Linked DNA regions of Sus scrofa. The protein of the gene in region 1 interacts with the protein of each later gene in a pairwise test. Links are inferred from orthologs where the notes say so. Each region holds a gene or a part of one and is shown in the gene's direction. Other genes may lie near its edges.

Region 1 (4,400 bases):
GTGGGACCGAGTGAAGAGGGTGTGACCAAGAGACAAGCCCAGGACACCAGTCAGACGGCCCGGCAGGACAGCTAAGGACGCCTGAGCAGATGACTCTTAGCTCAGAGCCAACTCAACCCCAAGGACTTCTGGCCGCCCTGCTTTGGGCGGGTGCCCGGCTCAGCTGCCAGGTAGGGCCTGCAGCCCCGCACCCACGCCTCGCTCCCAAACTAAAAATAGGAAAGACGGCCGGGGTTGACCCAGCATGGCCCTTGGAAGGCTTCCTCGTCGGAGATGAGTACTGCCACCGCCCCCCTGCCTGACCTGGGTCACCGCCCAGCTCCTGAGGGGGCTGCGCACACCCCAACCAGCGAAGGGGAGAGGGCGCGGCCGGGCCTCCCCTCCTCCTACAAGCCCCGGCTGGCGAGGGCACCGAGGCCCTGGGGACGCCAGGATGGACCCAGGATAGGACCCATCCAGACAGGACCCGAGCTCGGAGGCCAGCCCCAGCCCTTCACCAGTGGCCCTTTCCCGGCCGGAGAGCGCACCCAGGGAGGCCACGCCCCCACGCTCTGGCCGTACCTGCGTCGCGGCTTCGGCACACCTGCCGGCGGACACAGGGGGCCTGCTCGGGCCGCGCACCCCGGGGCCGTCCGGGAGTGGAACGTGAAAGACCCGGGAACCGAACGCGGAGGCCCGGGGGGCGGGCGCGTGCCCGGCGAGCAGACCGGCAGGCTCTGGCTCCAATCGGAGCGCTCGAAGCCTGCGCCCACGTGCCGCCCTGAGGCGCGCTCAGCCAATGGCGGCCGCGCGCTCCTCGGGGCGGGGCTTCCCGGCGCGCTGCTTCTTAAAGGGACAGGGCCGCGCTCCCAACCGCGACGGGGGAGAAGGCGAGCTTCCTTCTAGCTGGCACGCACCCTGCGGGCCTCTGGGTCTCTGTGGTCTGCTGCTGCCTTTCTCGTGAAGGGCACAGCGGCCTTGTCGCCTACTGGGGCTGCCATGTGCCAGCCAGGGGACGCCTCCCTCGGGGGACGAATGAGAACGTAACTGCACTCGGAGTCGCCTCCAAGCGCGGGCGCCGCGCCCCAGGGAGCGCTTCACGGGAGGCAGGCCCGCGGCTCTGGCTGAGGACCCTAGCATCCAACTCCCGCTGCCCCGTGCGCCCAGGCCTGGGTCCCGAGCCACCGGGGGCCCGGGAGCCAGCAAGCGCCGGCTGTTGAGCCTCGGGCGCCGAGGCCGAGTCCGGAGCAGAGGGCCCGGCGGCGGCGGCGGCAGGCCGAGGGGCGGGGCCGACGCGCGCCCCGCCCCGCCCCCGCGGCGCCCCGCCCCGCCCCGCCCAGCGCCGCCGGCCGCCCGCGCCCGCGCCCCGCAGCCTGCCGAGCTGCGCCGCCATGGAGGCCACCGGGGTGCTTCCGTTCGTGCGCGGCGTGGACCTCAGCGGCAACGACTTCAAGGTGAGCCCCCGGGCGGCGGCCGGGCCTCCCCCAGCCCGCCCCTCCGCTTCCTGCGGGCCCCGGACCCGCGGACCGGCTCGCTGGGCCTGGGCCCCGTCCCGAGCCGACCGCCGCGCCTCCGTCCCGCGCCCGCGGCGGGCACCCAGGCAGAACGCCGCGGGCGCGCGCGGAGAGCCCCCACCGGGCTCCGTCCAGGCGCCGGGCCCCACCCAGCCGGCCCGGGTCGGGAGCCTGTGCCCCCGCCTCCCCAGCCCTCCCTCCCCGCCCCTGTGAGGTCACACGCCCGAGCGGAGCCCTGACTCACGGCCGCGCCGCCGTCACTGCCCTGCCCCCTCCTGCCACCCCCATCCTGTGTGGTCTTGGGCAAGTCACTTCCCTTCTCCGAGCCTCGCTTTCTCATTCGAGGAAGGCACTTGAGATTAGTCTTCCGAAGGCAGGGATGCGTTTTCGTGGCGAGTGCGTCTGGCAGGTGTCGAGACCCAGGCGGCAGTTGTTTGAACAGCTGCTGAACTGAACAACCTGGGTCTCAAGGACCAGGCACTGGGGATGAGGGAGGCTGTTTTGGAGACCGGGAACCAGGCGGGCAGGGCTGGGCACCGGAGAGGAGGCGGGGCAGCAGCAGAGGCCAGAGTCAGCCTGGCTCCAAGAGGGTCATCTCCTCGGCAGGATGGGCCAGTGGGCAGACTCCGGCTGGGGTCAGTATAGTGTCAGCCCGGGTGTGCAGGGCCCAGCGGCCCAGGCTTTGGCTGGGACCCCGGGGTCGGGCCAGGGCTGAGGAGGCAGGCTTTTCTTCCTGCCTTGTTCCCTGTGTGCACCCTTGACCCTGTGCCCAGGCAGCCATACCACTTTCCTCTGCCTCCTGCCCACCATCCTGTCTGGGGGTCCCCACGTGTCCTGTACAGAGTGGGAGAGTCTGAGTCACCAGCTGGGAGTTGTAGCCGTAGGGGGAAGGGGACACCAGCCAAGGGCAGTGAAAGCACACACTGCCTAGGCCCCATGCCACAAGGGTGGGGGTACTGAGTGGGCATTTGGTTGTGGGAAGAGCTGCGAATGAGTGAACTAACCAACGGGGCTGAGGCTGGGCGACTGGCGGGGCTGGGGAGCTGTGTGCTGACGGCAGGGTGGGAGCACAGGTGGGACCTTGGAGAAGCTGAGGGGTACCCCTAACCCAGGTGCCACAGCAGGTTCGGGATGCCAGGCAAAGGCATGGAGCCCATCTAAGCACATAGTTGGGAGTGGCTGTGTCATCTGGAACAAGGCTTCCTGGGGCTGAGGTTCCAACAAGAGAGACGGGTCTCAGGGCAGCAGGTGTCTTGGATGTTAATTGGTGGTCATGACGCTTTTCCCCAGTGGGGGGGGTTTATGAATCCTGTGGGTGGGAAATTAAAGCACAGGGTGGCAAAGTGACTTGTCCAGGGTCACACAACCAGTCAGAGATGACTTTTGCTCCACAAGAGCCCCCATGGGCAGTGGAGGCCACAGGGGGTGGTAGAGCAGGGGCACCCCGTTTCCGGACCAGCGTCATCATGACGTACCACCTAGGGTGGCTACTTCCCTGAGAATGTCAAGGCCATGACCAGTCTGCGATGGCTGAAGCTCAACCGCACTGGCCTGTGCTACCTGCCGGAGGAGTTGGCCGCCCTGCAGAAGCTGGTAGGAATCTCTGGGCCAGCAGGGAGGGTCCCTGTGGATGGGGCTGGCCGGGCGGGCAGAGCCTGGGCGGACGACGCAGAGGATGCCAACGGCCATAGGCAGGGCTAGTGGGGAGGGAGTGAGCATCCCGTCCCCAGAGGAGTGCAAGAAGAGTCTGGGTCTGGGAGGGAGGGAGGCTACAGCGTGGACTGGGCCCCTGTGGCCATGGGGGGGTGGGTCTTGGGGCAGGGAGGGACACAGGGACAGCCCGCACACCCTGCTGAACCTCTGCTCCCCTGTCCCTGCCCAGGAGCACCTGTCAGTAAGCCACAACCACCTGACCACGCTTCACGGGGATCTGTCTAGCCTGCCATCGCTGCGGGTGAGTGCTGCCCTAGGGCGGGGGTGAGGGCAGGACCAGCGCCTCCGTCCACCCCGCGTCAGGCTCAGGGACCCTCTCCTGAAGTGGGGGAAAGGAGGCTTCCTTGGGTTAAGTAACCCGTGAGGGAAAAGGTAAAAATTCAAAATGCCACCTGTTGTAAACAACTACGTAACAGCTGATGCTGATTAAGCCCCTTGCCACCCCTCCCAGAAGGGCTTTTTCACACAATCCCCGCGCCCAGCAAGTTCACAGCTGAGGATGCTTGGCCATGGAGGCAGGTCCCTGGCCCAGGATCAGCCCGCCAGGCAGTGGGAGAGCTGGGCAGGCTGGGGTTGGGCTGGGAGGGGAGGTGCTCATGATGGCTCAAGTGAGCTGCCCTTAATCTGGGCTGTCCCGGTTCGCATCTGCGTTCTGTCTCTTCTCGGCTAGGTGGCCTTGGACAGGTCCCTGCCGCTTTTCGAGGTGGTCCAGTGGTGACTGCTGAGTGGCCCCGCATGGGCTTTAGGGCGGGGCGGGCAGCAGCGGTGGCCGCTCTTACTCCTCCTGTCACTTGAGTCCTGATCCTGGTCCCCCCCGCTCAGCCATCCTGCACTGACCTCATGTCTGAAGCGTGAGGCGGTTGCAGGTCTGAGAGGAGAGGAAAGCAGACGTGCTCCCAGGCTGCGCTCTGACCGGGTTTGGGTCGAGTCCTCCCATTTGGTACCAGAGCCCCGACTCAGAGCTGCATCCCTCTCTTGCTCTTTGGAGTTGGGAGGAAGAGGGGCTTTCCCATCAGAAAAGTTCCCTGAGGTGCCCTGTGCTGGGCTCTGGGGTACATTTGGGTTGGGTTTTGAGGTGTGAATAGGAGCTTATTCGTAGGCTAGGAAGGGCTCGCCAAGCCTGGGAGTGAGAGCAAAGGCCAGCCTGGGCCAGCCCTCAGGCCTGGCCTCCAGGGGCTCCTGAGAAGCTGTCCC
Region 2 (3,799 bases), on another chromosome or scaffold:
CCCCTGCATCCCCACCTGAGGGTCCCCAGGGAGATGTCAGACCCCCTCCTCCGTAAGGAAAGAGGAGGCAGCCCACCTGTGCTTGGGAGTGATGAGCAGGGAGAAGGGAACCCACTGAATGAGGTGATGGCCGTGATGCCCAACGGCTCCCCGAATACAGCGACCTCACACCACACGGCCCCGGTAGAGATCTCTAGACGCTGGCGCAACCTTCCACGCCTTTGCCTCGCGAAGCTGCACCCCGCCTTCGCTCTGATGTGCTCGCTGACACTTGTTCGGGGCTCTGTGTGCCTGTCTGTGCGTGTGTGTTTGCTTCAGGACCACTCTTTATCCGTGACAGCAGAGACGGAGGATCAGTTACAGAAATAGTCCAAGTTACTAAAAGAATTGTCCCTGGGGGCTATCGAGCATTTCTTCTTCTTCTTTCCCCCTCATTTAAATGGGTGCACTGCTTCTGTTGGTTCTCTCTGCTGTGCCCCTGCCAACGAGGCCAGGAGGAGATGTGGGACGGGGCGTCCGTGCCTCCGGGATGCTGATGTCCTGGAGGGCACGCGCAGCGCTGTTGCTCGGCGGCCTGAGTTGAGAGCGCGCTTGGTGCTTGCACGGTGTGTGTGTCTTCAAGCCCTTTGCCTGGAATGTGCCTTGACGCTTAGTGTGTTGCATGGTAGGAGCCTCCTTCTCGGTCCTGCTTCGGATGTCATCCGCTCACCTGTGTGAATCTTCTCTCTCTCTGCTCTGTACACACTCAGGCGTTAGAGAGGCAGAAAGAGTTCTTTGATTCCATAAGGAGCGAACGAGACGATCTTAGAGAAGAAGTAGTCGTGCTAAAAGAGGAATTAAAGGTATGGAGCCGAAGTCCAGGAGAGACGACAGCCACCCCAGGACTCTCAAGGACGACTGTGTGTCGTGATGTCCCTTAATCTCAGGCTGTGGATGTTTGCCTGTTAGTAAAATCTGACCGCAGCTTCACTGACCCCACGAGAACTGCGGCGTCCGTGTGGATTCTGTGGGTTCGCCCATATTGCTTTTAGATGCTTACAAGCACATAGGATCTTGGCAGCAACTCTGATTTCTAAGAGTTTTTCCGATAGGCCGTCTAAATTTGTCCTCGGTGTAGTTCTCCAGGACTGTAAGGAAGTTCCACATCCTGCGGGGCCTTGTTATGGGGTCTCCAGCTGCTGGCCAGACGAGTAAGATAAACTAGCGGGCAGCACTGGGGGTCAGAGCTCTGGGCGAACTCCCCGCGCTGAGCCTGGATGGTGTGGCTGCCAGCAGAAACCTCACTGTCAGCTGCTCATAGGGAAGGGTCAAGGCCAGAGCCTCCGGCCAGCAGGGAACAGGCTTTCAGGGCCAGGGAGTTCCTCCAAGCCCAGGAGAAAGAGCAGGGGGGACGAGGGGGAGGGAGGGATCCGTGGGGAGGGGGGCCTCCTGGCCTTGCGAAGTGTAGCCGTGTTTCAAGTGCTTTGCGGAGGTCCTGTTGTGGCTCAGTGGTCAACGAACCCGACTGGTGTCCATGAGGACACGGGTTCGATCCCTGGCCTCGCTCAGTGGGTTAAGGATCGGGCGTGGCTGTGACTGTGGTGTAGGCCGGCAGCTGCAGCTCCGATTGGACCCCTAGCCTGGGAACCTCCACATGCCGCAGGTGTGGCCCAAGAAAGACCAAAAAATAAATAAATAAAAAAGTGCATTGTCGCATAGTGAGCAGGAGTTAGACGTCTTTCGAATGCCGCCAACCTTCTAGCCGCCAGGGTTCGTTCATTCTCTTCCGAACACGTACGTGCTCCTGTCTTTGTCTGTCCTGACCAAGAACACAAGCAGGGTTCTAGAAGTAAGGTCACTTGACAGGGCTTTGCCTGACCCTCCGCTTCGTGGCGGCCTGCAGGCCACCACGTCTAGGTCAAAAGGATGCGCATTGAACGGGTCTCGTCACCAGCACGTTCGGACGTGGATGGGAAGGCGTGAGGCAGGAGTGCCCCTGGAGGAAGCCAGCCCACATCCCTGAGCGTGGATGGCCTGTTGACAGGGGTGTGCCCAGCCGCTCCGTCTGCGTCTCTCCCTGCTTAGGGAAACACAGGGGTTTTATTCGTTCTTACTTATAAAACGCAGCTTAACCTAGAATCACTCGGTGAGTATTACGACGAGCCTGTTTTTATTCCCAGAAACACGGGATAATACTCAATTCAGAAACAGCCACCAATGGCGAGACCTCAGACCCTCTCAGCCGTGTGGAACACCCAGGGTCTACGAAGATGACGAAGGAGGAGGTCGGCGCTCCCCAGGCCCCCGGGGACGGGACGCTAGGTAAGTGCTGGCCTTGCTGTGAGCCATTCGTCTTCCGGTCAGCCCTGATGCACCCTCCATGCTCTGTTAGAATGGACAGAATCATCACTGACCGATTAACCGCCACCCAGCATGCCCTTCGTCCTGTCACTCCGTGGGCGCTTCCTTGCCCAACGATGCAGTCACCCACGTGTGTTGTCTGGCGTGTCCCTTTGTTCATGCTCACCACCAGCGGCTTGAGAGTTCGTGTCTTTTGCTCCTCAAAGCTCCCAGGGAGGCTGCGCGTGCGAGGAAGATAATCTCGGAATTAAGCGAGCGAGAGCATTCTCTGGGTTTTCCTCAGATAGGTAGGTGGCAGGTAGGGCTTTTCGCCTTACAGAATTGCCAAACGATCAGAGCAGCAGAGGCTGTAAAGTGAGTTGGTTGACCACGTGGGCGAGCCTGCACTGCCCATCCTGTGCACCGTGAAGCATTTTGAGCACGTGAGGTGCCCACGGACAGCAGGTGGACAGAGCCCTGGGTGGCGCCCAGCGAGAAGGGCTCTCCTCACCAGCAAGAACCTGACTATGTCTGCCCCTTCATCAGGGGGCGATGTTCCTTTGCATGTCATGTTTGGGCTTCTGCAAGACTATAAATTGCAGGACCTGATAGATTGTAGGAATATTTCATACAACCTTCAAATATCTGAAAAGATTCACCAGTGAATGTTTGTCATGGTGCTTGGCTTTGGGATAAACCTTCAGAATCTGGTGGGCAGCCTGAAGTTGTAGCCGCACATAAGGCCTTGCCGGTCAGTGGTGACCAGCTGTGTGCCGGCTTTTCACGGTGAGGCTGGAATAAGGTCAGGGACCATGGCTTTGGTTTCCATTTGGAAAGTTCTTCATGAAAATGAAGAAACCTATAAGCCCCAGCTCCCCAGGAAGCTGCCTCATTGTCTTGATGACTCTTAAAGAAACACAGCTCTTCTCACTGTGTAAAAGTCACCGAAAGTAAATTAAGGAAGGTCCATCCTCCCTTTGTGTCAGCTGCCTGAGCAGCTGGAATTTGACTGGCGGCTCTTGTTCAAATACACATTTTAAATCCTTGATAGCCGTTGTGTCATGAACACTTAGGCAACTAGAAACATCTGTTTTGCAAGTGGTTGCCACCTGTATTCCATCACCTGTCCCTCTCAGTAAGCGATTATGGGAACTTCCCAATATCTGTGTTTATTTTATTTTATTTTATTTTTATGGCCACACCCATGGGATATGAAAGTTCCGGGCTAGGGATCAAACCTATGCTTCCGCAGCGACCACAGCCACTGCAGTTGGATTCTTAACCCGCTGTGCCAGGGTGGGAATGCTTACATGTTTATTATTTATTTATACATGTGTAACATTTAATTAATATAAAATCTACATTATAAAACATATGCGATACTAGACATTTTTAAGAGGTGACGCAAAGGTGACTCTAGATAGAATCCTGGGAGTTACCAAGGGCTCAGTGGTAACAAACCCACTAGTATCCACAAGGA

Evidence for each region.
Region 2: the proteins of FLII (region 1) and LRRFIP1 interact in binary tests that used the Homo sapiens proteins (3 or more experiments, as listed by UniProt). The link is inferred for Sus scrofa from reciprocal best matches to the Homo sapiens genes FLII and LRRFIP1.

What each region holds. Positions count from the first base shown.
Region 1 is NC_010454.4:60,474,417-60,478,816, forward strand, and holds the start of FLII (protein flightless-1 homolog), read left to right. Parts: upstream 1-1,305; 5' UTR 1,306-1,370; coding exon 1,371-1,433; intron 1,434-2,975; coding exon 2,976-3,086; intron 3,087-3,375; coding exon 3,376-3,447; intron 3,448-4,400. Other genes in the region: MIEF2 (mitochondrial dynamics protein MID49), read right to left, coding at 897-1,119. UniProt on the Homo sapiens protein: Is a regulator of actin polymerization, required for proper myofibril organization and regulation of the length of sarcomeric thin filaments. It also plays a role in the assembly of cardiomyocyte cell adhesion complexes.
Region 2 is NC_010457.5:137,419,233-137,423,031, forward strand, and holds part of LRRFIP1 (leucine-rich repeat flightless-interacting protein 1), read left to right. Parts: intron 1-749; coding exon 750-842; intron 843-2,159; coding exon 2,160-2,301; intron 2,302-3,799.